2 linked regions of the Caenorhabditis elegans genome follow. The protein of the gene in region 2 interacts with the protein of the main gene of each other region in a pairwise test. Each region holds a gene or a part of one and is shown on either strand. Other genes may lie near its edges. The genes, in order: slfl-5 and tra-4.

Region 1 (9,747 bases), on a different chromosome or scaffold from region 2:
TATTAGGACATCTCCAAATGGAGTAAGTTACTGAATCAAAAAAAAGTTAACGCCTATTTCCAGACTGAATACAATATTTATGACTATTCGAGTGATGAAAAAGCAGAAATAATATGGGCGGTAGCAATTGGAACTGTACTAGGAACTGTTCCATATAATTGGTGCTATGTTAAATTTGGAGCAAGGTAAATATTTTTGGAAGTAATTTCTAATACATATTAACATTATTCCAATAGGTTCACATTTCTCTCGGCTGGAATTCTCTCATTTATATCGACTGTATTAATTCCCACAATGGCTTCAACCAACTTCTATCTACTTTTAATCATTCGATTTTTTCAAGGAATTTCTTATGCAGCAGACTTTGCAGTTATTGGAATAATTTGTATGAAATGGGCTCCGCTTGACGAGAACGCATTTTTCGTCTCTGCTCTAACGATATTCTCACCGTTTGCCACCTCAATTACGGATTCGTTAACGGGATGGGTAGGTTCACTAGAATTAGTATAAAATTTAAAGTTTTGAATTTTTATTACTTACTAAAGGCAGCATAAGTGGGAAGAACTAATTCACTAATTGTTCAGTTTCCCATATTTTAGTTCTGCACAACATCTTTTGGATGGGAATCTTCATTTTACGTACACTCGATTGCTAGTGTTATCTGTTTTATTTTATGGGTTTTTTTATTCGGATAATCCAGCGACTCATCGATTTGTTGGGACTCGAGAATTGGAACATATTCAAGATGGAAAATCACTTGAACATTATGAAACTAAAAGGTATTAGTTTATCAAAAACGTATAACCAGCCGAAACTTCAGAATAATACCATACTTTGCAATGATAAAGAATCCGGCAATAATTTGTTGCTGGTTCAATGCTTTCATGGATTTATCAATGTCAATCCTTCTGATAACCTACTCTCCAATATATTTCAATCAAGTTTTGAAATTTACAATCGAACAAACTGGATTTATTATCAGTATAACCAATTTTGCACAGATCCCTTTCAAATTACTCGCTGCGTATATTAGTGATAAAGTTACATTTATTAGTCCTCGTACTAAAATGCTAATTTTCAATTTTATATCATGTGGTATTGTGTCTATTCTATTTGGAATCGTTGGATTTGTTGATGAAGCTCATCGCTGGTGGGCTATGACCTTGGTTACAGCTGTTAACTGTTCGTTTTGAAATTATTTTTGAAAACTATGGTATATGTTTAGGTATGATGTCTACAAACTGTGGTGGATATTATCAATGTGCAAGATACGTGGCATTACAGTATGCGGACGTCGTGATTGCTGCAATACAATTTTGCAAAGCAATTGCATTATTCTTTGTTCCAGCATTAGTAGCTCTGACAGTTCACGATGAGAATAGCCGGGCACAATGGGCAACTGCGTTTTGTATTAATTCAGGCCTATTGCTTGTGGTAGGTGAACATTTTAGTCTAAATAATAAATTTTTAAATTATTTCAGGCAACGTTCACCTCATTTTTTTTCTTCTCGGATAAACCAGCTGATTTTACAATCACAAAAAAAGCGGATGATGCAGAACAATGTTGCAAACTATAGAAAATAATATACTTTTGATAAATAATGTACATACATATTTTCACAACTAAACTTCTCGTTTTTAGCACAATTTTATTCAAATATAAGTTTTTCAGAAGCTTAAATTTTGAAATTGTTATCTGGAAAGCGGAGTTTACAATCCGAAACTTTACTTTTTGTCTCAAACTATAAAATTGCTGCTATATAATTATAATTGGTAATTATAGCTGTTAGGGAGATATATGTATCACGAGAAAGTTGTTTATAAAGCTCATGGTAAAAACATTTTCACTTTCAAACAAAACACTAAAACAAATTTTGCCAACTCTCACTTTTCCTTTGGTTTTCATTTGAAAAAAATGAACGATGAGTTAGACATAGACACATTGTATTCAATTATTCTTCTCTCTGATTATTTTCTAAAAGCCCAACTAATATTATCAATAATATCATTAGTTTTGACTATTCCACATATTTTTATTTTAACGAGAAGCTCAATAAGAACATCAAGTACAAATTGTTTATTAATTGGCATCGCAATTTCTGACTTGTTTTTGCATTTGGGAAACTAAATGATAGAATTGAACTAGATTGGTATTTTCTTGATCCATGCGTGTTCAATAGTTCTTATTACGTCAATATTTATTTTCTTGTTAAAGACTTTTTGAAGGATACTTTTGAAAAATCTTCTTTTTCCTTGGGATTATTTTTAGCATTAATCCGATTTATTCTCATGAAACTTTCTGGTGATGCTCCGACTTTGTCAAGTAACTCATTTGGATATTTATTGGTAGTCGGTGTAATTCTGATCAGTTCCCTTCCTTCTGGTATCTATTATACAGGATATGATTTGATTGGTGCACCATGGGATGAAAAGTGAGAAAGATTCATTTTACAAAGAACCTTGAAGTAACGTTTATCTTTCAGTTGCACGGGAGTACCAGAAAACTTCACTAATATGTTTTACGATCACCAGATTGGAGAACATCCTATTATTTCGATAGACAATTATCGATACACAACTGGGAGTTTTCGGGTAGGAAGACTTTAAAATTTTTTTTTGGATTTTGCTTTACGCTTTCTAGGATATAGCTAAACTTCCGAGTAGCAATTTGATCTGACAAGTATGCGATTGGAAATCTGAGATTATTAGAATTTGGAACAACTCAAAATTAATGTAATTTTATTGCCCGCAATTTTAGAATAGTTCCGTTTTTTTTTTTGAATCGTATTGGAATTGTTTGAATGATTATTTTTCAAACTTCGAAGTATTTTTACTAGATTTATTAATACAAAAACATAAACTCATTTTTTGGTTTCAGATGATCATCACAATTGTTTATCCAATTTTTGGTGCACTTTTAATGTTTGAAATCATTAAATCTGCACGCTTCGCATCAGTGACACTCAGTAGACAAGATGCAATAGAACGGTATGCCAGCTGATTTGATTATTAACTTAACTATTAAATTCAATTTCAAGATATCGGTCGGGAAGGATGATAATGTGCATGACAATCTTCTACACAATTTCAAGTCTTCCTGGTGGTGCATTTGAATTTATCTGGATATTCATTAATCCACAATTTAATACAATTCTCCACATGGTTCTCTTGTATGGCGATGTTTGGGTTGATACATTTTTCTGTTTCAATGCGGCTGCACATTGTTTAATCAATTTTTCAATGTCACGGAATTATAGATCAACTGTGATGAAAGCGTTGCATATCGAGAATTGATGGTTCGATTTTTATTTGGGGCATTATAACTTTATATTCCGGACCATTTGTAGAATCGCTTTCAATTGTATCTTGTTTTTTTGATAAAACCCCAATTTCTTCCATAGTCTGCTAATATATACGTGATTTGCAACTACGATTCAATTCAAAAATATTATGTTTTTTCGAGTCCTGAACTTTTTCTACCTTATACACTAATTTACGATATAAATTCCTCCTTCCTATTTTTCTAGAGTTTAGAGGTTCGTAGATCCACTTCAATTAATTTGAACTATTTTCTAGAATATAATTTTGCATTCAGTGGACAAAGTCAAAAACATAGCTTCAGATCAGGAAACTATTGAGCAAAAAATATTTTCCTTAATAGTATTTTGTCGTAGTAGTCTTGGTGTAAAGGTGTGGTAGATTCAGTCACGTGGTGTCAGGCTGTCCCATTACGGGTTGATCTACGAGAAATCAGGAATTTCTCGAGCATAAACATGCTCTCAACCATGCGGAATCTGCTGAGAAGTCTGCGTCTAAATTTAAGAATTTTTTGTAGATTGTACCGATATGGGACACTCTGACACCATGTGGTCAGTTCCGTCAAGTATACAAATGAACCAAAAATACTGAATATTTATTTTTTAATCACTAGCATGTTTCACACTTTTTGTAATTTTCAGTATGTTCTTAAAGTTAGTTTAAACTTTATCACATTAAGCATTCTTGTATGTTCGAAACCCTACAAATCAATTACAAATTAATTTAATGTAATCCAAGTTAAAAGTTTTTTGGTCAACCTTCAAAACTATGAAATGTGAAAACTGAGTCATTTCTACCGTTGTGAGCATCATATAGTGATTTTAAAAGTTTTTACTATTGGCGTTTCACCAAATTTAAAATGGACTTTTAGTCGTTGAACAAAGTTGATATTTACAATAGAATTATCTAAAAAGAACCAATTATATCCTTTGTCGTTGATCTATGATTTCATTTTAAGTGACAATTATTGAGTCAGTGAGCAAAGTAACAATTTGTAACGACTATATTTACTCGAACTGTGTTTCTATTTACTTCTTGTAGACAGTATATAAATGTCTTACAAGAATCACTCTGAATTTTGTGTTCACAATGTTTTCAATTACATATATTGCTCTTTCTGTTTTCTTTTTGATTCATTGCTCCGATGCTTTACTCAATGTTATCGGAAGCACTCAAAGTGTTACTGTAACGGGAAAATTGGTTTGTGAAGGACAGCCAGCCAGTGGAGTTCTCGTGAAGATGTATGACGATGGAACGAGTAAGTTATTATTTGGAAGAACTGTTTTGAAACAATTGATTTTTTCAGTATATGACTCGAAATTAGGTTCGACGACCACCTCATCTGATGGAACATTTTCTGTTTCTGGAACATATACAGATATTTTAACATTGGATCCAAAAGTGAATATATATCATAGTTGTAATTACAATGGACCATGTTCAAAGAAAGTGACAATCAATATTCCTGATTATGCAGTTGCATCTGGAAGTAGCTCGACTGATAATTATGATATTGGAACTTTGAACTTAGCTAATCAGTTCAGTGGAGAAACCACTGATTGTATCCATTGAATGTGTACTTCCTAATAAATTTGTTTCTAGAATAATTGAAATGGGACATCTAGGAAGAGTGAATTCAGTTCATTTTTAAAATTGTAACTAAAAAAGCAGTAGCGCAAAAAATGCTACAAAAAATGAATAGAATGAGTGGGGGCACCTGGAAGAAGAGAAAAAAGAGGATCTAGAGTATTTTTGGAGACAAAAAGGTTCACTTAGTGAACAAATATTCAGAATTGTACAATTTCAACTATGTACAACTATTATCAACCCGGAGCAAAATGTAAACACACGGGTACCTAGGAGGAGAGGGCAAAGAGAGAGAGAGTGAAAAAAGACTACAAAAAAGAGGTCTACACAAAATATACAAGATAATTGGGAGGGGGGGGGGGGGGTGGCAGTAAAATTTAGAGATTTTCAGACTAACAATTATCATTGGGTGCACGGAAATACTTTTAATACTTCTCCCATTCCTTTGGTTTTTCCTTGACGAAGAATAATTGGTGATCCTTCACGAATGACTTCTGGTTGATAGGCGAAACACATTTTAACTACAGCCCATTTTCCTGGACGGATGCAGTCTGCATCGTCGATGTGAGTAATAATGGCAGTTGTACAGACACTTCCGATAAACACTGAAAAAGTTCATAAATTATTTCAGAAAAAATCAAAACTGAAAGTTGAAATGAGAAAAAGTACTCACCTGTGGCTTGAAATCCTTCGCATATGTATTTCGTCGAGTGACACAGCAGTAAAAGATTGGCAGTGAATTCGTAACAAACTGGTGGTTGATGATCGATTTCAGCAAGAACCATTCCCTTTAATGAAAATAATCAATATGTTTCACATTTCGAATGATTTTTCTGTGGAAAAAAATACTTACCCTTCTTAGACTGACACCGTCTGGAAGATTCAAGGATATCGATGCAGCTTCACCAGGATTAACACATCCTACGGCTTGCCGGCTTCTTCGAATCGACCCGACAGTAATTTTTTCAAAAGTTCCATCTTTCATGGGTCCAACAAGAACATCTGCTCCTTCATGCAATTGTCCTTCAGATAGCATTCCTCCAACTACTTGTCCAACATGAGGCACATTATATAGTTCCTCGATTGTGAAAAAGGCTGGGAGTCCAACTAGTTGAATACGTGACTCTGCAGTTCCAGCTGTAGAAAGGCAATTGAGAAGTGTTCTGAGACAACGAAAACCTTCTCCGCTCACTGAACTAACAGCAAGAACTGGTACGATACTACCAACGCAGAGTTCTTGTGCCGCCTTCACTGCGTCTCTTTTAGTTTTCACTCTTTTCTCGCGAGCTGTCATCCCTGCTTTCGCAACAAGATTGGAAACATCTTTGATGATTTTCTTAAGTCCTTGTCGATCGACTAGATCCATTTTTGTGATCAGTACAAACATTGGAATGTTTAAAGCGGCAATTAATCCAAGATGTTCACGAGTGGCCCACGTGATTCCTCGATCGGCGGCTACAACAAGGCAAGCGAAATGAGGAGTGTATCCGGTTAATCCATGAATTGTCGTTTTCTGATATTTTGCGTCTCCAGCCAGATCGATAAGTGTTACAAGTTTTGAAGACTTCTCCACCATTTCTTCGAGACTATTTTGTGCATAATTGACTAGCTGAAAAAAGTAAAAATTAGATATTTATAAATAAATTTAAAAAAATCGAATTTAAGTTTTTCAAATAAAATTTTTCTAAATTCATTGTTTTTGTATTCAAAAGTGGAGTAGAATCATTTTGAAATTTTGTTTTGAATGAAAAAAAAATTGACCGTAATAATCGATTTTAATTGATTTTAAAAGTTATAAAATCTTTCTAACTTTTTAAATTTTTATTTTTGATAATTGGGCGGGAATTCAAAAACAGATTTTTATTTTTTTATTTTTGCAAAATTGAAAAAATTATAAAAATTTTATGATTTTTTGAAACAATTATATTCGGTATTACCGTCCATTTTTTTAATTATTTAAATCAAAAACCCTAATAAATAGGATCCAACTTTAAAATTTTCAATAAAGAAATTATCTACAATTTAATCAGTTTACTGTTTTTTTTTTTAAATATTTTCAAGCATATTTTAACCCATTCTGAATGTTTCGAAAAATTTCTAACCTTTCCACGATTATCGAAGCCAATGACATCATTACAGACAGAACTGGTTTTTCCTGTTCGCACTTCGTGTGGAAATCTGAATATTCCAATTCTTGCTTTTCCGTTTCCGTCGTCCAGACAACCCTGTGTTAACACTCCACACAGTGTTGATTTTCCGACATCGCATCCTCCAACGACAGCAAGACGAACTTCGATGAATTGCTGGCTTTCAGGAACCTTTCGGACAAGTACCTAGAAAAATAATTTCATTTAGATAAAATATGACTCAATAATAATTACCTCGACTACAGTTCTCCGTGAATTTGATCCCTTAACAGTAACGTCTTTCTCGGTCAAAATAACCATACTCGCCCCAAGAGCTTGGGCCATCGTTCTCAAGGTCCGAAGTGAATCATTCAGTTCCTCGTCTGTTAATCCAGACATTATTCCACCATCCTCAACGCCAATTTCATAAATAGCCTCTCCTTGACCCTCACGAAGACGCCATTTCATTTGAGTGATCAGATGTTGTATACGAGATGTCGTTGGATTTACTAATTTTGCTTTGTACTCAATATTTCCAAGCTCCGTTTCAGGTGGCAATCGGTTTTCGGTGTCGGAGTCGGAACATTCATCGTTAGTTGGCAGTGAAGAGCTGAGAAGTGTTGGTCCATTTTTAGAGTCCGATATTGATTGTCGTCTGTAAAAAATAATATAATATACTACCTTAAATGATTTGGCGACATTAAATAAATTGAATTGATTTTATATCAATGTTTTAGAATTGATTTATTTTTTATAAGGAATTTAAATAAATGAATTTTGATTTTAGAAATAAAATTTTCAAATGTTAACCACACAATATTTATCGTACTCACCTAGTTTTGTAAAGTGGCTGATGATTCTGCTCATCGCAGAAATGTGAAATCATAAAATCCATAGTGAGATTGAGTTGTTTATTATTTTATGAAATGAGATAATCAGTTGGATAACTACTGCTCACGCCGTATTCGATCTATCATTCGATTCTCCGATTCTGGAACATCAAATTTTAATCATAGGGAGAGAGGTTCGGGTACTTGAGAAAAAAATGTCGTGTTTCGAGAGGTTTTGAAAAGTCAGTTGTTAACTGGTTCGGTCAACATGTAGAGATTGTAGAGAAATATGAGAACTTAGAGAATTGACGTATGAAGAGAAAAAAGTGGGAAAGGGGAGCCGCTGTTGTTTTCGAAAGAAGAAAATAAGACAGAAAAAATCGGAGAGGAACATAACAACAAGTTAAGTTGACTTTTGAACTGGAAATTTGTCAATATTGAAAAAAGGAACAGTGAGAAATATCGATTTCCACGTCGCTCGATTCTATGAAAAGAAATTATGCACACACAAGCTTCACAGTGAGCATGCTGAATGATTGAGCAAATACATGAGAGAATAAGAGAGGAATGAGATGAAAAGAAGCGTTCAAATCAAAAGAAACCAGACAAAATGGCGATTTTTTACGGGAATATGAACCTACTGATTGGCAGTGGACAGCTGGAAGAATAAGAAGATACTGAAGGAAGGTTGAAGTTGAAGCTTGGAAGACAGATGATGAGAGAGAGGAAAACCTGTTTCTTTTTGATTACGATCGGACGGAAATGAGAAGGAAGTAAGTGTTTTCACACGTAGGTGGGCATTGAGATCTTTGAAGGTGCATTCGACAGGTTAATAATCATTCTAAATACCAGGTGACAATGGAGGATACTTTTAAACAGTAAATATATTGGAATAAAACATAAAAGTTAGTCTTACTCAGAATTTCTAAAATTTCAGCCTTCTGGAACGAAAGGTAAAATCATAATAATAATACAAGTGGGGCTGTTAGTAGCCCTAAATACAAGTAAAATGACCGAACACAGCCGTTAAAGAATGTTGCAGAAAATTGCGAAATATTTCCTTACTCTTAAGAACAACATTCGATGTGACGCAATATGATGCATTTCCTTAGACAAAAACGTTCAGTTCAAAATAAACAACAATAAAACCGTTTGTACGATTTCTAGAATACGAGTTTATCAGTTGTTCGGAAAATATCTTATCAATCGTTTGACTGATGTTTTTTAACCATGTGAGAATTTGAAAAAAAATTTCATGATTGCCAAAAATTAAAATAAACAGGAAGCTTTTACCGAGTTTTCGTGATTTTCAGAATGAAGAAATTAATATGAAGCTCAAAATCAAAAGCAGAGGGAAAAGAAAAAATCGAAATCTTCTTTCGGTTAAACAACACGCGCTTGCGGAACTTCGGAGCATCGTATTTTGTTTTTGCGCTCTATTTTTGAATCGGAAACTGTTTTTTTGTCAGTTTTCGAAATTGTTTTTTTTCTGTTTTTTTACTTCATGCAAGAGTTTAACTTTACGCAAAAATTAATTAAAAATACGCAGAAGGCCCACTTTACACAGGAATTAATTGAAAATACTCAGGAATTTCACTTTACTTAGTCCTTTTTCCAGAGTTTCCAACGGAATCAATATATTAATTTAATTTCGCAACATTTTTCTTTGAATAAACCTATTTGCAAATGAGAATGTTTCAGATATTTGCTTATCGAAGCCTGGGAATTGCTTATGGCGAAATTTTTACGCGTAAGTCTGCAAATTTATTTTTACTCTGAAAATACTAAATTTATGAAAATTTCAGCTACACATCAGAGGAATTCGAAGTGTCGGTGATGAGGACCACGATGTTCACAAAATTGATTTCCTCTCTCCGTGCACACTA
Region 2 (10,084 bases):
CTCTTAACCCCCATATGCGGAGCGCGTGCAGACTGACGAACAAAAAACCAAATCCAATTATAATCGACAACAATACATTTTGACTCATTCTCTCCCATCATTATGAACATCACCACCGCAATTTGAAGGGTTGCTAGTCAGGCAAAATATCTATTCGAATACAAGTTTGTCAAACTTTGATCATGCAAACAGTCCTACTATCACTTCGAATTAAATCAATTGGCTACGTGAAATGATTGTGTAATATGCTGTTTTACCACATTTTCCATCAATGAAAGTTCAATAACATCGGTTTAAGTTGTGTTTTGGCAGAATCGAAATTGCAACACTCTTCGTCAAGGAAATTTTGAATTTTTAAGAAAATAAACTTTTTACGTTTTACGGTTTATCTGCACTTTGTTTCCATAGTAATTCGAATGCAATGGAGAATCTTAAATTTAGAAAATGTGGGAAAGATTTTTTATGCAACTGCATAATCGCATCGGAAACCAACTAACATGAAAGGAAGTAATGATTTTTTTTCCAAAAAAAAAACTACGCAGGTTTTTTTATGGAACATTGTTTTAAAGGTGGAGTAGCGCCAGTGGAGAATTTGTTAAAAACCTTTTTTTATCGACAACTTCCAAAAAGTGGCGAAAACTGGGATTTTTTCCAATTTTCAAAAAATCATAAAATTCAACTTTTTTAAAAATGTTTTTAACTGTTATTTGATTACTGTGGTGTGGTGAGATAGCAATTTTTTAAATTCACAACTGACGCTACTCCACTTTTAATCTATTTTATTTTTTTAACTTCTTGCTAAAAACGTTGCATGACGTAAAGCGGTCAAAAATGCTGTGCAAAAATTTGTCGGACGAAAAAAAAAGAAAAACTCTCAAGCATCCATCTTTATGTTCTGCCGTTAAACTCTCGGCGCTCGTTGATTTATTGCCGACTGTCGAACGGATGCGTGGGAATTTGCTTGGGCATTAAACGATAAAATCAGAAAAAGACTGTTCTATGGCGGGAAACAAAAACGACAAAACGCACCTTCTCACGGTAGATTGCGCAATGTTTTTACATACATATTTTATGTAAATTGTGTGACCTTAAATGAATGGGGAGAAAAAATAAAGTGCAATCGCACGCCGAACAAGTCAATTAACTAGGCACCATTCAATTAAGTGTGGGTGTTTTGTGTGTGTGGGGAAGGGAAATTGAGAACAAAGAATGGAACAGAGAGAAGAACACCCACCTTTTCAAGGCCCATACGCCGCCGTGGCGCAGCCATTGCAGTGTTGGTGTGGCGGCGCCTGAATGCGACAAGATAGTGTCGTAAGTTAAAACAGAGAGTGCATAGAGTTTTACCACCAGACGCACATATACATACATACACGCTCTCACTCACCCACTCACTCACTAACGCTCATTGCCGCCGCCTCCGCCGCCGCCTCGGCGTCTCTTCTTCTCTCACGCTCGCCTTCCAATACACTCAATAACGCTCACCGCCATGGCGCGCTCGCACACAATTCCTATTCGCTTTCTTTCCCGCACTGTGTTTCTCGATTTTCCGCGCCGCTTTTTTCCCATCTTCTCCCACCATCCTCTCTCTCACTCTCACACTTTGGACTAAGGCAGCGGGGGGCCCGCACACACGCACACACACACAAACAGACACACATACACAGGAAAAACGCACCCGTCCAGCGACCACTGTCTCTTTTTCTCAATGTCTCGGATTTGCGTCTCTCTCTTTCTCCACGCGTGCCCGGGTCCCGTTAAGAACTCTCGTCGCTTCTTGCTGATCTCTCACACTGACTCATACAATGCCTTGAGGAGCTCAACCGGGCGGCGGAGATCGCACTGCTTGAGCAAGTTCAAGAAAATAAACTTTTAAACCACCAACAAATTAATTCACGTAGTTTTTATAATGATAAAAATCATTCAGCATTTGTATATGAGCATTGTAATAAATTTCAAATTATAGTCACTTGACTTATATGTGTATATGTTATAAAAAAGTTGATTGATAGTTAGGACTCTAAAATAAAAAATGCCAATGGAACTATAACTTTTCCAATTAAAAATACTTGAAATTAAAAACATTGAAGGATTCAAGTTTGATCCGTTCTTCAAGCACCACGTGGTGTTAGATTGTCCCATTTTGGTTTGCTTTATGTAGATCTACAAAAAATGCGGGAGGTGAGACGCAGAGTTCTCGTCAAATTTTTAAAGGCAAAAAATTCCCGCATTTTTTGTAGATCAAACCCTGATGGCACAGCCACACACCACGTGAAGCGCCATGCACCGCGCATCTGAAAGTCAAGTACACTGCCCGGTGGTACTCCCACTAGGCTTTATTTTAAGCCACGTCCAAGCCAGTGACTGTGGCCAATATTTTCCGTTAAGGTTGTGGGAACCTAAAGGGAGGCAGGACTTGTATTTCTCATGATTGCTACCGTCCTACCACCTGAGCATTTCCTGTAAGTTATCATGGTAACAAAAATGCAAAAAAAAAACAAAAAAGCGAAAGGTTCAGCAATTCAATGTGAACTATGTCATAAATTTCAAAATATCTACATATAGTAACCTGATTTATTTGTGTGTATATCATGAATAAAGTTGAATGATTGATAGCACGCTAGATTAAAACATTAAAACACGTCCATGGTCTGAAAAAAAGTAAGAGGTGTTACAGTAATAGTACAATCAACATTAAATGACAAAATTAAACCCTTTTTAACATAATCGGGAAGTGAAACAAAAACAAACAAAAAATTGAAAAAAAAATGTATCAAATGAAAGTGTGGTAGTTTTGATGAAGATCTGTGATGATGAAGAAGTTTCACTCGCCTTTGTAGAGTATCCACATCCGCGGAGTCTCCACGTATGCTGTAATTAAAATTCAATTTTAAAAATTCTGTCATTCGTTTTTCAGTGATACCTGTCGGCTCATCTGCTGCCAGGTAGCCTCCGTGCTCTTCATACACGTGATGTTTCATCTCGGGGTATTCCGCGTGACGTTCGTGACAAATCGCGCAAACATATCCATGCTCATCTCTCTTGTGTTCCTGGAATCAATATAATTAAAAGTTCATATAAGGGTATTCATGACAAAAGGGCAGGCACCAGGATATAATCTGATCTCATTGTGAGTCCTCGATTTCATCGCCGTAATAACATTGATTTTTCTTTTTTGTTTTTCTTCTTTTTTACATGTATGTTAATCCTATCTCAGAGCACCCCTTCAAAAAAAAACAAATGTCATTTTTACCATGTGATTTTTTATTATGACAAATGCTGACTTGAAGTTAATGTGTGAAAGAATAAGCTCACCTCCATAGCAGTGTATCGGTTTGCACGAAAGTCGCAAACTTTGCATTCAAACTTTATAATTCCCGTATGCATTCTCTCATGGGTCATCACTGCAACTTCACTAATGAATATCTCCTCGCAAAAATGACATTGGAACGTTTTTGTGAACACATGGGACATCTTCTTGTGCTTCCGAAGTTTACGCGGTGTAAGGAACTTCATGTTACAGAACGAACAGCGGAAACCAGAGTTCGCTCCACGATGGAACTTCTTTCGGTGATTTAGGAGACGATTGTCGGTGCAAAGATTTCTGATCGGAGTACATTCGAAGCAAACATAAGTCTGAAAATATTAATTATTTAAGAGCTTGTCTTTAGTTTGAACTGGAACAAAGATCCAGAATGTAGTATTCAATTATAAGTTTTAAAATAAAGAAATTTAAGTGTATTTGTTATTTGTTATAAATGAGGGTTTTAAACTAAAGTAGCGCCAGTGGGGAAATTGTTAGAAACCCCTGGCGCCAAAATGGCCAAATACAACACTTTTTTGATTTTTTTTTTCCCTAGTCCAACAGGAGCTATTACTGAGATTTTGCCACTTTTTGAGATAACTATAGCAATGTCGCATGATCAGAGTCCTACAAAGTTTGAATATTAATATTTGAAACAAAATTGAAATATTAAAAAAATAGAAGGAAATTTTTTTTTGATTGGCCAGGTAACATTTTTAGAGTTTTTTGTATTGTTTCTTACCAATTCACAGTCGTGATTCGCCATCTCTGCATCATTTTCAACACATTTAAAACATTTGAGACACTGCTGAAACTCGACCATCTCCTCGTGCTTCTTTGCAAAATGTTTCTTGAGGGAAAACTCATTTCTAAAACGTTTATCACAGAACGGACATTGCGGCGACACTTTTTTCTTGTACGGACGCTTTAGTTGCTTGATTCTTCCATAATAGTCAAAACGTGGGACCAGGCCGCCATTGTTTTCTCCGGGAAGGGGAATACTGAAAATGCATGACGAAATTTAGAAAATAAACGGAAAACTGCTGAACCTACTAGTTTGGATCCTCAGATGGTTGAGAAATCTCGTTTTCCGGCGGGATGAATCCTCCTGTTTGTAGCTCTTCAATGCGATTTGCTTCGATTTCTTCAAGCCGTTGCAGCTCCACTTCTTCTTCTTGTTCACGAATATATTCCTCGTAGAGATCTGGATGTTTGTCGCGCAGATGTCGTTCATAAATGTTCTTCTCGATAAATCGATTCTTGCACTTTTTGCATCGAACCATTTTCTGTCGAATCAGCTTGCGTACAATCCGAACATCCGTTGGAGCATTCGGTGGAGGAAGATCAATTCCATCCTGATGATCGGCTAGAGTTAGTGTCTGTTGAACTTCAGCAATACGGCAAGGAGGAAACTTCGAAGGGTCTCTGACCCGAAATCCCAACTCATCAAGAACAATTCGCTCTTTCTGGATGGGCTTGATTTCTCCTCGAATTTGCTTCATAAATTCTCCGACTCCACTGAGCTTTGCACGTTCTTTCTCTGGCTCTTCTTTCTCAACAGGAACCTTTGCTGACATTCCGAGTGCTTGAGCTAGAAGTTCTGAAAAAACACACGTTATTAGTAAAAACTTGTAGTTAGATGTTTCAAATTACCAAAACCGATTCCCTTTTTGATCTCTTCATCGTCGTCATCGTCCTCCTCGTCGTCATAGAGCTCGTCCTCATTAATTGTCGTTTTCTCTGTTTCAAGTAATGGAATCAAATCGGTCTTGTTATTCAAATCCATCTCATCGTCGTCGTAGGTGCCTTGCCAATTTGCTTGGTTGGTGTCGATAGTAAGCATCAGCATATTACTGAAAATTAAATTAATTAAATGATTTTTTCTGCATATTTTGAACGTATAGGCCCGATATGTGCTCAAACAAATGATTTTCGTAATGAAATCTTCACAATTATGGCGGTTCGAAATTTGGAAAAAATGGCCTAGCCGTACCTAAAACCTTAAATTTTGGTCACTTCCCGTATCTGATCGGTTGGAAGTTCACTTTTCTGAATTAACATCCCTTTGGACAATTTGGTCGTTTGGTACATTTAAAACTGTTAGGTGATCAATTTTTGTTATTTTTGGTCACCAATCGGCTTCAAAAGTACCCAAATTTACAAAATAAAGTACTATCAAAATATGCAATAAAATTTTATAATTCCAAAAAAGAAAATTTCCGACCTCTGCGACACAAAACAAGTTGACAAAATTAAGGATTTCAGCTAGTTTGGCTGTTTTTGAACCGACATAAAAATATTTTGAGAAATTTCATTACGAAATTCAAATATAGATTAACCAGCCGTGGACCGCACCTTCGGCGCGGCCCCCGACTTCTGGGGCTGAAAATTGATTTTTTATGAAACTACCGTCACCCTACAGTATTCCTACCGTACCACAATTGTACCACTACAGTACCCCGACTATATCCCTACACTAACCCTAACTCACTATCCCTACAGAAGCCAAAACTTCACAGACTACAAAGACCACATAGACTACAAACTATGGACACACAGAATAAGCGCTTTATATATAGTAAATGATTTTTTCGGATTTTACATATATTATAAAAAGAAACAAAAAAAACTTACTCCATTGTTGAGGATGAACCTTCTTCAATCGCCGGTTCTTGTTTCAAATTTTGTATCGTTGGCGCCTGAAATTGGGAAGAATTTTTGAGATTAGAAAAAAAATAACAGAAACTCACCTCTGTAGGTCTTGGTCGCGTTATGGAGTCCTCCTGTTTAATAGTGCATTGATTTGGGTCATCCATTGCCTGAACCGTGGGAAATAGTGGGTCGATAGTATGCGCGCGCGCGCACCAAAACACTGCACATTACAGGCGTACGCAGCGCGACCGCATCGCGTCTCTTCATTGAATTTCAGAGTTTCATCGATTAACTGGTTTTTGCAGGATTTTAAATAATTTTTTCAATTCATTTGATTGGAAAATAAAATAATTTAGGTTTGTGGAACTAAATCGAAATATGATATAAACATTTAGTTAAAAAATATATTAAAAAATACTATTTTCGAAAAAAACAAAAAAAGAATTACCGATAAAAATGTATTTGTAAATAGAAATATTGTAAAAATAATAACCTTGAAATATATATGAGACGCTCTCAAAAACGAAATGGAAGAGTTAATGCTATGGGTTTTCTAGTCCGCCTGTCCTCAAACAAAGAACGAAGGCTTCGCAGACAGATGTTTTAAAGATGAAGTAGCGGCATTGAAAAACGTGTTTAAAACTTCTCTATTAAAACCAAAATAGGCGAATAGTATTGTAAAACTTTTCAAAAAAGTTTAAATGTTTTATTTAAAATATATTTACTTATTTTTGCAACTCAAAATTTGGAAGCCGACAAAAAAAGTTTTTTCTACGCTTTTTAATACTTTAATTTTGTTTTCAATATTTCTGTTAAAACATTCTAGTGTTTGGAACACGCGATATTGCTCTGGATTTTCATAAAAGCTCTTTTTTTTTTTAAATTCTACTCTACCTCTAGCACACTGGGTTAACCGTTTAGAGTAACATTATGGAAATAAAAAAATATGAAGGTTTAAAAAATTTCATTGTCAAAATTATGAACACATATGAACCGGATTGATTGAGGACAAGAACACCACTTTACACGTGGCGATTGAGAAGTTTTAATGCAAATAAAAACATACAAAACAATGTTAATTCAAATTTTATATCAATTCTTTGTAACAATCCAGGTGCCGCCACCATATGGAAGTAGAGAAGCAGAAACCTGAAAAATGTAAAGTTTCTGATTTTTAATTAGTTATCTTAATATATTGGTTCAGGGTATTTTGAACGTATATACCAACAATGTGCTCAAACAAACGAATTTAGTTTTGAAACTTCACAAAAACTAGCGCTGCGACACTGAAAACTGCTCAAATTTTGAGAGAACAAGCCCAATTTTCTTTTAAATTTTGAATCCCCATAAAACATTTTGAAAATTTTTTCAGAAGTTTCATTTTGAAATTCGTTCAAAATACCCAAAACCGATACTCCCCCTTTCACTGTCTCAAAAATTTTTAAGTTAAATTTCTCACCCGGGGGTCTTGTTTGATGCGTATGTTCATGTTTCGAATGACCCTGTCATCGTTGGTCATGTGATCAATCGATGACATCACTCCACCACCATTGAGTGCCTAGAGAAAACAAAACGTAAAACTATTATTTCTAATTAAGAAATGAGGGACCTGGTTAATGATTAAAAGACCACCACTTCGAATCAGTCGAATTGCGTGTTCATAATCATCCAAATAGTTTTCCCTCTTAAAATCATCCAGAAACACAAAATCGAAAGTGTTGGGTTCATTTGTTGCAAGTCGAGGCAATGATTTTTCGATGCTTTCAGATGTTCTCATTTGAATTCTGGACATTTGCGTAGCCGTGAGTTTTCTTGCGTGCTTCTGCCCAATTTTATCCCAGAAAACAGCATAGGCCGGATGCTCAAGTGCGACAACAATTCCTCGAGAATCAACTCTTTCGGCGACACCGAGTAATCCAAGACCAGTGAATACTCCTGAACGTTTATTTTAACAATACAAATCAATTTTTCATTATAACAAGTACGTTAAAAAGAGCCACACCACGTGAAGTGACTCAAAGTTGAGCCTGGTCGAAAATCTTTTTTGGAAAGCACCGTGAAATGAAAAATCATGGCTTCATGGCACAACATTAACCTGCATAATATCAGAAAAATCGGTAAACAGCGAAAAACATTATGAATTTTGACTCGTGACTTGCTTAAGCCCCTCATAGAAAAATAAAATTTTGATCTATTCTCCAAGTAACATACATGAAATATACTCACCAATTACTAAACATCTTGAAGGTCTATAAAGTGACATTAAAGTTTGAACTAGTTGCACAATTTCCGGGGTCACTGAACTGTGCCAAGAAATGTGTTGTGGGAGTGATGAAGCGGTTTGGGTGTCCTGAAAAAATTGTAACGGATAAAAATTTTAAATTTTGCCTTACCCTGAGCAAATCTTGAATGGAGTTGTCGATCATTGTTGAGTGACTGTAGCAGTATTGGAATAAAGGATCAGAAGTCTCAAAACTTTTCAGTTTGATGGAGCATCTTTGATCGGGAACTGAAATTAAAATCATATACATACAACTGTAAATTATTTATGTACACATATTAGAGACAATGCAAGATGTACTTACCACATGTGTCATATTTATTGGTGTGGGGAGCAGAGGTGACCGCAATTTTTTCAACAATTGGAGGGCGTGTGAACTTTTTAGCCTGAAGACAAAATCAGAATTGTTTCTCTAATTCTATGAAAGAATGGTGATTTCATACTTTAATGATAAACGGAATTCCAGCCGTTGAGCTGTAAACAGTCTGATATTCACTTGGTGGAGTAGGGATCAACATTGTGATTGTGGATGGCTCAGATGGAAGCTCTGCAGTTACTGACATTGGGGTAGTCCAAAACACAGAAGTTGTATATTCAGGAGTCACAGAAGGTGTCACTTTCTTCCAAACATTGTTCCGGATAATAGATGATGGACGGATGAATTGTTCGGTTGAGCTGAAACATATTGGGTGAGTAATAAGTTTTGTCAATTTTTTTTGTTTTTTTTTAAACTTTTATAAAAAATAGGAAACTGTAAGTTATGTATATTTAGTCAATATCACATATATCCAAGCACTCAAAAATTAGAATTTCTGAAATTTTTGTTTTTTGATATTTTTTCAATTGGCGTTTGATTGATCTGTTAGTTATATAGTTTTATTTCAGATAAAATTGGGTTCTGCAAAAAATTAATTTTAGCTTGATTCTACCACTCAATCTGTACTTACCTGAAATTGGCAAAAAAGAGTATTTTTTCAATCGTTTAATTTTTGGTTCGTTTTTTATTCTTGTTTGCAAACCACATTAATTAGTGTTTATGCACGTTTGTATTTTGTTTCAGTCGAATTCGTTCAATAAAAAACAAATTTTCCGGCAAACCGACAAGCGGCACATTATAAAATTCCAGATAAACGGAGTTGATAATATTGTGCTGGAGAAAGAATTTTGGAAGTGCCGACAAATCTTATGTAAGTCGCACAAAATCACATGGTTGTTTCACGCCTACTAACGCACCTACCTCTTTCATGCCCACGTTTCTGCCTGCCTACCTGTGTGCCTACGTCATGCTTGTCCGCTTACGTGTCTAATCAACCTATCCACAATACCTAACCGAAACTTCTAGTCTGCCTACGTGCCTCCTTCGTGCTTTTCAGCATAGTCTGGTTCCAATAAAAATAAAAATAAACACTAATAAATTTGAAAACAAAATATGTCAGAAAAATCAAACAGTGGACAAAATCCACCTTTTTCGACAATTTAAGTTATGAACACAATTAGTTGCTTTAAATAGGTAATACCAGCCTAATTGTTTTGTGAAAAATAATTTTAACATACAACTTTATAGCATTCACAATCAAATTGGAATTTTTTTTTTTACAAAAAATTATAATTTTGAGTGTAAAGTATATTAGAACAGCTCGGATATGGATGCTCACAATTAAATGTACGTAGGTAACTTACAGTTTCCTATAACTACCATATAAAGGTGCAAAAAGTATAACTTTTCCATTAGTTACCTATTACCTATTGTTACCTAGTTACCTATCGTGAATAATGTACCCCACCTTATTACAGCCTGCGAGGTACTTGTCATTGGGCGGGTTGTGGTAGGCCAGATTTGATATTGA

What was found.
Region 1: the proteins of tra-4 (region 2) and slfl-5 interact in a two-hybrid assay, tested with the Caenorhabditis elegans proteins (2 studies listed by BioGRID).

What each region holds. Positions count from the first base shown.
Region 1 is NC_003283.11:12,237,023-12,246,769, forward strand, and holds slfl-5 (Tr-type G domain-containing protein), read right to left. Parts: upstream 8,023-9,747; 5' UTR 8,009-8,022; coding exon of another isoform or gene 7,979-8,008; 5' UTR 7,927-7,978; coding exon 7,865-7,926; intron 7,687-7,864; coding exon 7,287-7,686; intron 7,239-7,286; coding exon 7,008-7,238; intron 6,515-7,007; coding exon 5,759-6,514; intron 5,694-5,758; coding exon 5,579-5,693; intron 5,511-5,578; coding exon 5,308-5,510; 3' UTR 4,949-5,307; downstream 1-4,948. Other genes in the region: ttr-22 (Transthyretin-like family protein), read left to right, coding at 4,408-4,576, 4,625-4,890; rad-50 (Zinc-hook domain-containing protein), read left to right, coding at 8,624-8,634, 9,563-9,611, 9,667-9,747.
Region 2 is NC_003284.9:2,851,118-2,861,201, forward strand, and holds tra-4 (Zinc finger protein tra-4), read right to left. Parts: upstream 6,129-10,084; 5' UTR 6,121-6,128; coding exon 6,055-6,120; intron 6,004-6,054; coding exon 5,939-6,003; intron 5,158-5,938; coding exon 4,958-5,157; intron 4,905-4,957; coding exon 4,358-4,904; intron 4,306-4,357; coding exon 4,047-4,305; intron 3,637-4,046; coding exon 3,316-3,636; intron 3,051-3,315; coding exon 2,924-3,050; intron 2,872-2,923; coding exon 2,825-2,871; 3' UTR 2,562-2,824; downstream 1-2,561. Other genes in the region: Serine/threonine-protein kinase kin-29, read right to left, coding at 1,235-1,270; comt-1 (Catechol-O-MethylTransferase family), read right to left, coding at 7,049-7,105, 7,416-7,514, 7,566-7,891, 8,183-8,306, 8,350-8,465, 8,542-8,623, 8,681-8,912, 10,022-10,084. UniProt on the Caenorhabditis elegans protein: Probable transcription factor. Promotes normal hermaphrodite (XX) development, in concert with histone deacetylase hda-1 and nasp-1, perhaps as components of a complex.